Linked DNA regions of Saccharomyces cerevisiae S288C. The gene in region 2 interacts genetically with the main gene of each other region. Each region holds a gene or a part of one and is shown on either strand. Other genes may lie near its edges.

Region 1 (2,969 bases), on a different chromosome or scaffold from region 2:
AATGTTAATAAATTCTTGGATTTAAGTAGTGAAATTAGCGAAGGTGGATCCAATTTGTCTCAAGGACAGCGCCAATTGATGTGCCTTGCTAGATCTTTACTGAGGAGTCCAAAGATCATATTGCTGGACGAAGCTACAGCGTCCATCGACTACAGTTCCGATGCGAAGATCCAAGAAACCATAAGAAAAGAGTTCCAAGGTAGTACAATTTTGACAATTGCACATAGGTTGAGATCTGTTATCGATTATGATAAAATTTTGGTGATGGATGCAGGTGAGGTAAAAGAGTATGATCACCCATATTCTTTGTTACTTAACAAACAAAGTGCCTTTTATAGCATGTGTGAGCATAGTGGAGAATTGGATATCCTAATTGAATTGGCTAAAAAAGCCTTTGTGGAAAAATTGAACTCTAAAAAGGACTAGCTGTTTCGATGCTAAAGTATATATATATATATATATATATATATATATATATATATGTATATACGCACACATGTTCACGTACTATAAATTACCTTTTGTAAATTCAACAGCCTCTTTTTCTGGAACTGGAAGAATCCGTTAACTTCAATATTCCAGTCGATGAAACGGTTTAGAATTGCAATTGACCTCAAAATCATTATGTTGCAGTTATCCACCAACTCGGGTAACTTCTTCAACTGTTTCGTTTCAATATTTGCGTCTTTGAAGGAAATCTGATCCAATGAACTTTTACTGATTTGGCAAAACTCCATATATTGGCTGTTTAGTTCGTCAAATGCACTATATAATGTATAAATATCGTCAAAGCAACTAGCAAAAATACAAATATCATCAGGAGCTCCCACGTTCTCGATGTCTTCAGCCATGAAAGTATTAAAGAGTTGCAGGAGATCTTGAGAATACTTTAGACCCTGGAAATATAGACGATGTAACTGATTGTATAGTTCATCTAATTGCACTGAAACATCGGAATTCGCGCTGTATCCGGCGCCTATAAGCCGCTCCAATCGGTCACACCTGTATTCTAAAGCTTCAACAAGCTTAAGACCAGGCATCAAACTTCCTTTGGTAGAGGCTAATGGCCTTGGAAGCTCGAGAGAACATTCTATAAGTTCATCAATCACTTATACTATATGCAGTACCTCTAAATTACCTAATATCCGGGTAATAAGAACAATATTCGGGTGACGCCGCCCCTGTTTGATGACAAAATTGGAAGAAAAAGAGGAAACAAGAAAAGACTGGTTAGCAACTACGTAAACTTCAGATTTCAAAACATACATAAACAAAAAACTAACAAAAGAAGATGTCTAGATCTGGGTATGCTAAATTTCATTTGTACTCCTGTGTAAACTATCAATTACTAACTAATTGACATGATGCTGTTTTATCTCGCTCTCTTATGTCCTTTCTTTCCTCCCTTTTTAACATGGAACTTTAAAAGGAATGTGGGGGAAAAAATTCATAAGAAGCCAGGAAAATGTGAAGTTTCTGTGTAGTGTTGCTGTTGCTGATGAATCCCTTACCGCTTTCAATGACTTGAAATTGGGTAAAAAATACAAATTTATTTTATTCGGATTGAACGATGCTAAAACCGAAATCGTTGTCAAGGAAACCTCTACTGACCCATCTTACGATGCCTTCTTAGAGAAATTGCCAGAAAACGACTGTCTTTACGCCATTTACGATTTTGAATACGAAATTAATGGTAATGAAGGTAAGAGATCCAAGATTGTTTTCTTCACTTGGTCTCCAGACACTGCTCCAGTCAGATCTAAGATGGTCTATGCATCCTCCAAGGATGCCTTAAGAAGAGCCTTAAACGGTGTCTCTACCGATGTTCAAGGTACTGATTTTTCCGAAGTTTCTTACGATTCTGTTTTGGAAAGAGTCAGCAGAGGCGCTGGTTCTCATTAAGGTAAATGATTTCACAAATGACAACAATCTTCAAGAAAAATGAAAATGTATATCTATATATAAAATCGTCATATATATACAGAATACATGTATAGAATTATTATAATTATAATTTTCTCTTCGCAACTCTATCTAAAACACAATACTTAGATTTAAGGTCCCGTACACCCCGGCTAGTGGGCATTGTTTTTGCACCCATATTTGTAATTCTAAATTCAGAACGGAAATACTGGCCATGTAGATCAAGAAAAGATACAAGGTCATCGAACCAGGCAGCAATGATTTTTCTATAATCTTCTAAAGTGAAGCATGACGACCATAGCTCGTTGAATATGCATAGAACGCTTCTGTTTTTAACGTGGCTGATATCTTTAACAAAGGCTTTTAATATAAAATTACCACACACTGAAAAAAAAGACCATTTGGAATCCAACGCTGTGCTGGCATGCGCATCCTATATAAATACTCTGAAGTGGTCATTTGATAGCTCCGTCGTACCGGGTTTCTATTCTACCATATGCTCTTATTCACCAGCGTTTGATACTTGGTCACTTTGTATCTTCAATTCGCTTACAGACCAGATTATTCCCATGGACAACACAAGTTTCGAAGAAAGCTTGGGTAACGTACGAAAAACGTGCTCGTTTGTCGATAAAAAGTTTAGCAATATTTCACTGGAGCAATACTACTCATCTTTAAATAATGCTTCTTCTCACGCTTTGGAAGACTATGGTTCTATTGAAAGTTTATCGACATCCATTCGAGTCGATCGTGAGACAAGATCTAGATGGATACGAGCTTTTCATGCGCATGCCTATAATTTAGATATCAGCAGTGTTTATGGTGCATATTTAACTTACTACTTCGTCATAGTGGGTATTATCGCCGTCTTCTTCCATATGAGTCACTATAACGGCCTGAATCGAGCGCTATTTGCAAGCCGGTTCGTCAATTATATTCGGGGCCATTTTGTGTTGCCTACGTTTTTAGTAGATAAGCACGCTAATCACTTCAAGTTTCTAAACGTGGAAGTCTTTACGGGACTGATGCCGAATTCCTTGGAGGCA
Region 2 (4,083 bases):
TTAAAATCCAAAAAATCCTGATTTATATTCATTTTATTACTGTATTCCTTTTTTCAAGGCGGGAGAAACTTATACCGCCATAGTAAAATAAATAGTGACTAAGGTAGCCAGAACTTCTCATCAACAAATTGCGAAATTAATTTCTCTTAGAAAAGCCATTCATTGGAAAAATGAAATACCGTAAATTTTAATCATCCATTGCAAGATCTTTTATATACTCTGTGCAGTTTTTTCAACTCTAGCCAATTTATCCTGTCGTTGAAATCTAAATCTCTAAGAGCAATTTGAGATTTCGATATACATTCGGAGAAAAATTATTTTTACGCTGACGTTATATTTAAAGTTCGGAACGCATACACATTAAAAATCCTTTTTTCAAAAAACAACAAAAATATTTTAGTATTTTCAAATATTAAAAAAGAAAAATAAATATTTTGTTAGGTAGTCATGTGATTTTTTGTCACGTTTTGTTGAGTTATATTATCTCAAGTGTAGTAAATCGCTTTATTTAACAGTTGTGTTAATTAACTAAGGTTCATAGACAGATTGCACATGGTAATCGAAAGCCTCATATTGAAAGGGCCATCACATCCCTAAATATATTTAGTAGTTTTAAATTATTAATTTTTTTAAGGATACGCTATAAAGGATTACATAATAGAAGATACAATTAAGTAGTACAGCTCAACAGCTACAAGAATTATTTTCTCCATCTAGGCGAATATTGATGGCATCATTATAGTCATCTTCAAAGGCTTCTGTATCAGCTTGATTCTGTTGTAAAGCACTCCTTGCAATTTCTTCAAATGCGGTATCAACGTTTATGGCGTTTTTGGCACTTGTTAAAAACAAAGGAATATCGCCTAATGATTTAGCAAGCTCCTGAGCGGACTTTTCTGATACAATTTTTTTAGATTCTTCGGCATCAATTTTATTTCCCAGTATAACAAATGGAAATGTTTCTGGTGAGTTTACGTTCGCATGCACTAGAAATTCATCTCGCCAAGACTTAATATTCTCAAAGGAACTGGCATTGGTCACATCGTAGACCAAAACGCAACAATCTGCACCTCTATAGAAAGCAACACCCAGTGATTGGAAACGTTCCTGTCCAGCAGTATCCCAAACTTGCATGGTGGCAACTTTATCACCGTCAACTGTCACCTCTTTTGTTAAAAAGTCAGCCCCAATTGTTGCTTTATACTGTTGAGAATACTTATCATTGACATAACGGTGCATCAAGGAGGTCTTCCCAACACCAGAGTCACCTAGGATGATTACTTTCAAAATATTTTTTTTTCTAGAAGACATCACTTAATTTGAATTGATACAGAAGGGGTTTCTATATGGATAAGAAGTGGACTGGATGAGCTTATTCCTCTTATTTTGTTGGTGATTCCCAATGCTGTTCCTCTGTAACGACTGCTTTCAAGATAAAGGTACAGATTAACAAAAGGAACTTCTTCTCTCAGTAGGTCGAAATGCGAAAAGTTAATCCGCGAGATACAAACGTTACCCGTACCGGTGAGTTCTGAGGTTATTCCAATCACTGAAGAATCGTCAGCTATTACAGAGTAAAACAGCTGTCACTCTTTTCGAGTTACGGAGCTGCCCGTATATATATATATATGTAATGATGTTTCTTTCAAACTCTTTATCTCTTATTTTTGGGTAAAAAATTCTATAGAACAAGTGAGAAGAAGGTAAAATATTGCAATGCTCAGTCAATCTTAAACACATTCTTGAAGAACGCTAATGTTGGTTGTGGCAAATGCCACAAGACTACGCTGATCTAAGCACGCCTTCCTGAACTCCATATAATTGCTTAGTTCCTCGGCCAACCTTTCGTGAGCTACAAAAATTTCGCTTCCAAGTTCTTTGAGCATTTTTGAAGAGGCCTTTATCTGAACCGCTAGTCTTTGCTCCGATTGTTCACGCTTCGTTTCAATAAAACCACCAAGTGGAGCACGACTAGAGGTATCTGATGCACTTTTTGGCTTAACCATGTTAGGAAAAGCCTTCCGATAGCTTTTATGTAAAGCTAAAAACTCACCATAATGTTTCCACCAGTTCGGAATTTTTTCAAATAAAATTATCTGAACGAAACTAGATAGTTGGATAGTACATTGTTCCAAGAAACGCACGTTTTCTAGTAGTGCTGCTAGCGATAATTCACTGAACATATTATGATTTGTTATAATCCCCTTAAATGCGCTGGATGCTTCACTATTAATTAATTTTCTACCCATTTCGTTAAGACCCTTATAAGCATCCTCGAAATCATCGGATTTCAAATTAATAAATATTAAGACTTTCCTCAAAATATTCAAGCTTGCCTTAAATGATGAAATCTCATCAAAATTAAAACGTAAAAAGCTTTGTATCATATTAATCTCCTCGGGTTCCATTGTTTTTGGATTTTCTTTTCCTGAGGGTTTCTGGTTTCTTTTAGAAGTGTTTATGCGCATCCAATATAAGATAGAAGCCTCATCAGTGAACAAATTTTCTGGAATTTTTTTCAGGAATAAAAGAACGTTGAAGCAGTTAGTTAATTGGTGAAGTAACGATGTGACATCTGTTTTCCCGATTATTGTTAAATCAGAACGGTTTAAGTGCGATATTTCATCGATATAGGTATTTAATGGCAAAAAGGTGAACGGATTGTCTTTCAGAATTGAGCGTAGTAAGCCTTGAATTGTTTTCATGTTAATAACAGTAGTGGCGAAAGGTTTCTCTGCATTTGAAACGGATGTTATATTTGTTGTCGCATTTAAATTATGATATCGCAAAGAATGAAAATATATTAATCCAAAAAGTGAATCTTTGACACCCCTTTCTCCTATCTTGCTTAGTACCGAGTGATCTTTTGCATAATCAAAACAAGTGAAGAAGGTCGAGTTTTGAACCTTCTCTAATATAAGTCGACGGTCTTTCGTGATGGCGTCAATATTACTTAGTCTTTTGTACTTCACATATACCATTAATGGCGTCAATCCCTTATAATTTTCCTCATTAATATCTAGCTTAGTCAGTTGTAAAAGGATTGGAATGTTTGTTTTCAAAACATGCAACAAGCTATTGCCCTTATTATCGGTGTGGTCTAGATAGTCAAACAAACTGTTGTGCTTTCTATACCAAGTATTTGCGATATCAAATGCGGTCTTCACCATTTCTTCATAATTTGGTTGATCATAACTTCTAAAGATGGAAAATAAAGGCGTTTGTCCACTGGAATTTTTTCGTTTCCAATCAATATAATTTCCGATGCTTTTAAGTATATCCATTTCATGGGTTAGATAATGAGCCACGGTACGTGCATATTTATCTGTTTTATTGATATAAGAAACCAGCTCCTCTTCAGTACAATTGAACAGCATGATCTTTATGAGAACTTTCGCGGCTTCTAAATTTCCTGCTTTTATCGATTCTATAAGCAGCGTAGAACCATCAATCGTTTCGTCCTCTAAAAGGTCTTCTACTGGAAAGTCGTTTTCATATTCAGAAAGAATATCTAATAAGATGTAGTTTTTATGATTTGTTATACATATGGATAGAATGGATTGTCCTTGCTCATTTCTGTAGGTCAAAATATCCTTGTATGTTGCCAGATCTTCTACTTCATTTGTGGGGTTTTCACATGACAACTTATCTAATAAATTCTTAGTTTTTTCACATAATGTGTTAGCTTTCGCCACGTTGCCTGTATTTTTGTTGAAGTCTTCGAAATAACAAACCACTGCTTCCAGTGTGGATACAGCATACCCTAGAATGCCGAATTTTGTAGAAGAAGAGTTATTCGAAAAATTTTGCAAATAGTAAAGATGACTTTTAAGGTGCTTTTGTTCACTTCTGCAAACAACGAGCACAAAAAGGCTAATTAAAGTGTCTGCATCCATCGTCATGTTATTCAATCCGTCTGGTAGTTCTAGTTGATGTGAATCCATTTCGGTAGTACCTGATAATTTCTGTAGAGTTTCAACTAATATTTTAGATTTTTCAGCGTATGAATGGGTCAAAGCCAACTTTTGAAGATGTTTGGACGCTAGATGGAGACGCCTTTCAATAAGAGTGATGTCGTGTAAT
Region 3 (4,463 bases), on a different chromosome or scaffold from region 2:
AATTATGTCGCTACCCTTCAGTTTTGTTGAAAATGATGCTTTTATCGTTAACTTTACTTATCTTTATTGTTTGCAAGATTACTATTAATATTAAAGAGGGTCTAGCAAGGATACTGCGATTGTTTCTAAATATTTCAACTTTCTACGTTATTCATCTTTAGGAAGCTAAAAAGCATTCAAAAGATTACTATGAAGTTAATCTTTAAACATAGTTTGATGAGCGTCTATGCAAATAGAATAACTTCAAAAAATTTTCTATTCCATTTTTGGAAAGCCCCAAAAAGCTATATTCTATAATTTCTGAATCTTATTGTGCTTGTGGAGGTCACCCCAGTTTTCTATAAATTATTATTCAGCTATTATCCCAATACGACTAAAGGTATTGAGATTCACGGATATTTTTTCCCCTGCAACTTTCACAACTGGAGGGCTCTGTTTCTTGATTTTCTTTTTGTCATATAAACATATCTTAGCGCGATTGCTAACAAATAGTATAGATATCATAATTTTTCCTCATCCTGCACACAATTACCTATAGCAGCGTCATTCGCACCGCCCTCCTCATTGGATTTTTTAACTGTATTTCTCGTTTTAGATGAGTCTTCAACATTTCTATCGTTTTCATAAATATCAGTTTTACTGTCGGAATTTTTATTGCTCTCAGGACCACCTTCAATATCTTTATCTGCAACGGTTTCGTCCTCATTAAAATTTTCTGCATTACCCTCAAAATTCTGTTCATTTTCTTTATCATGATCAGTGTTAATGTTCGTAACGTCTGTAAAACCATTGCTAAAATCTTGACTGTCTTCCTTATCGCCATTTTCATCGCCCTCACCGTCATCGCCATTTTCATCGCCCTCACCGTCATCGCCATTTTCATCGCCCTCACCGTCATCGTCATCGTCATCGTCCTCACTATCATCGTCATCACCACCATCATCATCATCATCCTCAGAGTCCTCATCAGTATCATCATCTTCATTGTCCTCACTATTTCCCACCTCTTCACTTTGTTGATCTGTCTCCGCATCAGGTTTATAATGTAAACCCAAGCCCATCATAGCTTTCTGTATCGCGTTCGATGTTTTACTTCTGTTTTTGAGATCTTCTGTGGATTCAGTAACATCTTCATTAGCAGTATTCTTTGGTTTATTGAAATATTCCTTCCATGAATTCCATAAGTTGGCTGCTGGCTTGTCTGTATTCTTTCCAGGATTTACAGAAATTTGGGAAACAGACTTTTTTGACTCGATGCTTTCCTGGTCTTTGATATCCTCCTCGCTTTGATGACCATTTTTATTGCTTGAAGAGTTGCTAGAGCTTCTTTTTAAATTATGAAATGTGGCCAAAAATCGTTGCTGTAATAGAGACAGAGTGTCGGCACCGTTATATATATGCTTCGGAGGAAACAAGTCGAACAATCTATCATCTGTTCTTGAGTTGAATATCAGAAAATTTTGAGTCTCTTTCCAACTCTGAACCCAATTCAAATTGAATAAATGAACGGGATTGGAATTTAGCATATCCTCAGGTATAGTCTTCAAAGCTTGATCATTCTCTTTATGCAGGTCCAAATAATCACTTAATTTAACACTGGAAAGTAACCCCGTTAAATAGTCCTCGAATTGCCACCTAATGAAATCCTCACTGCCTTCAAATTGAGAGTTTTTTGGAGTTTCATCATCATTTTCGTTCCATGTGTCTGATACAATTCCAGATATAGATTCAATCCATTTTTTATCATGACTTGACAATTGGAGGACGGGGTTCAAAGTCTTGTCCAGAATATCTACAGTGGAATTGTCTGTATTGACAAATATGTGGCACAGTTCCTCCTTTTGTTCAGCAAGCAATGTGTTGGAACTTCCAATCATAAAAAACAAAGTACGTTCTGACCGTATGTCATTCATTTGCTGCAGTGGAGTATAGGGTGAAAATAGTCCACCTTTTTCGAAAATCGGTAATGGAAAACCTAAGAATCTCAACACTGATTCTCGATTGCTTGATTTAAACGAGTCCACAACATTTAATTTCGAAATATCCTGAAACAACTGAGGACTGCCAGAATCCTGCAAATTTGACATCAAGTCCGGAATTAAGCTGATCAGACCGAACTGTAAATTACACAAAGCTTCCACGTCGTTGCCGTAAACTATAATTTTTTTTTCAAGCATAATTGCTTTCAATAAGACTAAAGCGTTTCTCTTAAAATCATGTAGTATCTTTCTCAGACATAACCCAATATAAAGACGATTTTCGGCATTTCTGACCAATGATGCAGGCGTGTAAATCGACTTCAGGTTTTCGTATAAAGACTGGATTATCTTCCTGTCCCCAAAATCATGCTGCAAGAAAAAAGCATTAGTCACAATACTAAGTTTGTCCTTGATTTGACCGAAGATTGGTTGCCTTGAGATGACTACAATTGCCTTCTGTACAGTAGATCGTGTTACATCCTTATCTTTAGTGACCAATTCATCACTCTTTATCTGTCTCGAGCAAGATATGGCAAACAAAGTCGTGTTGTCATTGATGCTATCATCACTCAGATCAGTTGCCCCGTTGGGAGGGCTCCTTTGTCTTCTTTCATCATATAGTAATGTGAAATAAGTAAATGTTTCTTCAAACGAGTGAGAACCATCAGGAAGGGCCTGGAAGGGTAAATTTGGCCATAGTTCTGCACTTTGGGTGCCCTCAGGTAAGCCATACCAGTATTCTATTTCAGGGCCTCTTTTGTGATGAAAGTCCACAAGGCAGATACCGAAGATGACTGCTTCCTCGTGTTCATCCATTATTTTGACAACAAGGTTGCAGCGAGGCAGAATGTATATGTTAGTTTGATATGGTCTTCCTGCTTGGATTCCTTTAAGGCTTCAAAATTTTCTTGAAAAGGAAACTTCGTGAATGAGCTGTAAGGATGCTTGATCGGGCCGTACATTCTTATGCAAGATCCATTATTGACTGCTCTCTGTTGGGTTAGCTTCCATATCTTCCGTTACCCGTTCGTATAATCATTACCCGACGGACAAGCATCATTTCAGCGGCTATTTTTGCTAGGCAAACCTCCTAAGCAATGATACTTCTCAAACGTTCAATGGAAGTAATAGAAGTTCAACTTACCCCATTAATAATCCACACATTAGAAGGTTGGGACAATAAAAATAAAAAGCATTAATTAGTGTAAACTTTGCTCCCAAATGCAAGTCTAAGGTAAGTTCTTTGGTTCATGGAGTTTTTGCAGTGTAATCTCACGTGCACTAGACTGAGTAAAGCGAACCTGAGTTCAAGAAATAATGATTCACCTATGACATATAGTCCAACTATACAAGCAATGAACCCTTACGGATTGAAGTCATTCAATGTTCAATGTTTGTTGTAATAAGAAATATTACTAGAAAAAGATTTTTTCTTTCGGCGGCGTTTTCCCGCTTTTCTTAAACAATCTGCAGTTTTAACATCGAATTCACGAATATTTGTTCGCTAAAGAAATAACACAGAAGATGAAATGAAGAACATACATTGAGGGCGACGAATATATATGACTTATAAATACAATTGCTGTGATGATGGATCAGGAACCACCGTTGGTTCAGTGGTACGATTTGATAACGTCACCTTGTTAATCGATCCCGGTTGGAATCCATCTAAAGTATCGTATGAGCAATGCATCAAGTACTGGGAAAAAGTGATACCGGAAATTGATGTAATAATACTATCACAACCAACAATTGAATGTTTAGGTGCTCATTCCCTTCTGTACTATAATTTTACCTCGCATTTCATATCCAGAATTCAAGTTTACGCAACTCTTCCTGTTATCAACTTAGGGAGAGTTTCCACCATAGATTCATATGCATCTGCAGGTGTTATAGGTCCATATGACACAAATAAACTCGATCTTGAAGATATTGAGATATCTTTTGATCATATTGTACCTTTGAAGTACTCGCAATTGGTAGATCTACGATCAAGATACGATGGATTGACTTTACTGGCGTACAATGCTGGTGTGTGTCCAGGTGGTTCTATTTGGTGCATTAGCACATACTCAGAGAAATTGGTTTATGCAAAGCGATGGAACCACACTAGAGATAACATACTAAATGCTGCTTCTATATTGGACGCCACTGGTAAGCCCTTATCAACTTTGATGAGGCCCTCTGCAATAATTACTACTTTGGACAGGTTTGGCTCCTCTCAACCGTTTAAAAAACGTTCAAAAATCTTTAAAGATACATTAAAGAAAGGTTTGAGTTCGGATGGGTCCGTTATAATACCGGTAGATATGAGTGGCAAATTTCTGGACCTGTTCACACAAGTTCATGAGTTATTATTTGAAAGCACAAAGATCAATGCGCACACACAAGTACCTGTACTTATTCTGTCTTACGCGAGAGGAAGAACTCTAACATATGCCAAATCAATGCTCGAGTGGCTGTCCCCTTCACTACTTAAGACAT

The links. Genes that interact genetically often act in the same process or in processes that back each other up.
Region 1: mutations in YPT7 (region 2) and LDB18 together harm fitness more than expected from each alone (negative genetic interaction), as found in Saccharomyces cerevisiae (3 studies listed by BioGRID).
Region 3: mutations in YPT7 (region 2) and AVL9 together harm fitness more than expected from each alone (negative genetic interaction), as found in Saccharomyces cerevisiae (3 studies listed by BioGRID).

What each region holds. Positions count from the first base shown.
Region 1 is NC_001144.5:38,737-41,705, reverse strand, and holds LDB18 (Ldb18p), read right to left. Parts: upstream 1,041-2,969; coding exon 501-1,040; downstream 1-500. Other genes in the region: bile acid-transporting ATPase YBT1, read left to right, coding at 1-426; COF1 (cofilin), read left to right, coding at 1,292-1,305, 1,485-1,902; FRE6 (putative ferric-chelate reductase), read left to right, coding at 2,235-2,969. UniProt on the Saccharomyces cerevisiae protein: May be involved in protein-linked oligosaccharide phosphorylation since the deletion reduces the negative charge of the cell surface.
Region 2 is NC_001145.3:264,402-268,484, reverse strand, and holds YPT7 (Rab family GTPase YPT7), read right to left. Parts: upstream 1,312-4,083; coding exon 685-1,311; downstream 1-684. Other genes in the region: VRL1 (Vrl1p), read right to left, coding at 1,731-3,944. UniProt on the Saccharomyces cerevisiae protein: Ypt/Rab-type GTPases are key regulators of membrane trafficking and intracellular vesicular transport.
Region 3 is NC_001144.5:374,444-378,906, forward strand, and holds AVL9 (Avl9p), read right to left. Parts: upstream 2,796-4,463; coding exon 501-2,795; downstream 1-500. Other genes in the region: cleavage polyadenylation factor subunit CFT2, read left to right, coding at 3,542-4,463. UniProt on the Saccharomyces cerevisiae protein: Functions in the late secretory pathway. Required for the generation of secretory vesicles as well as for actin polarization and polarized growth.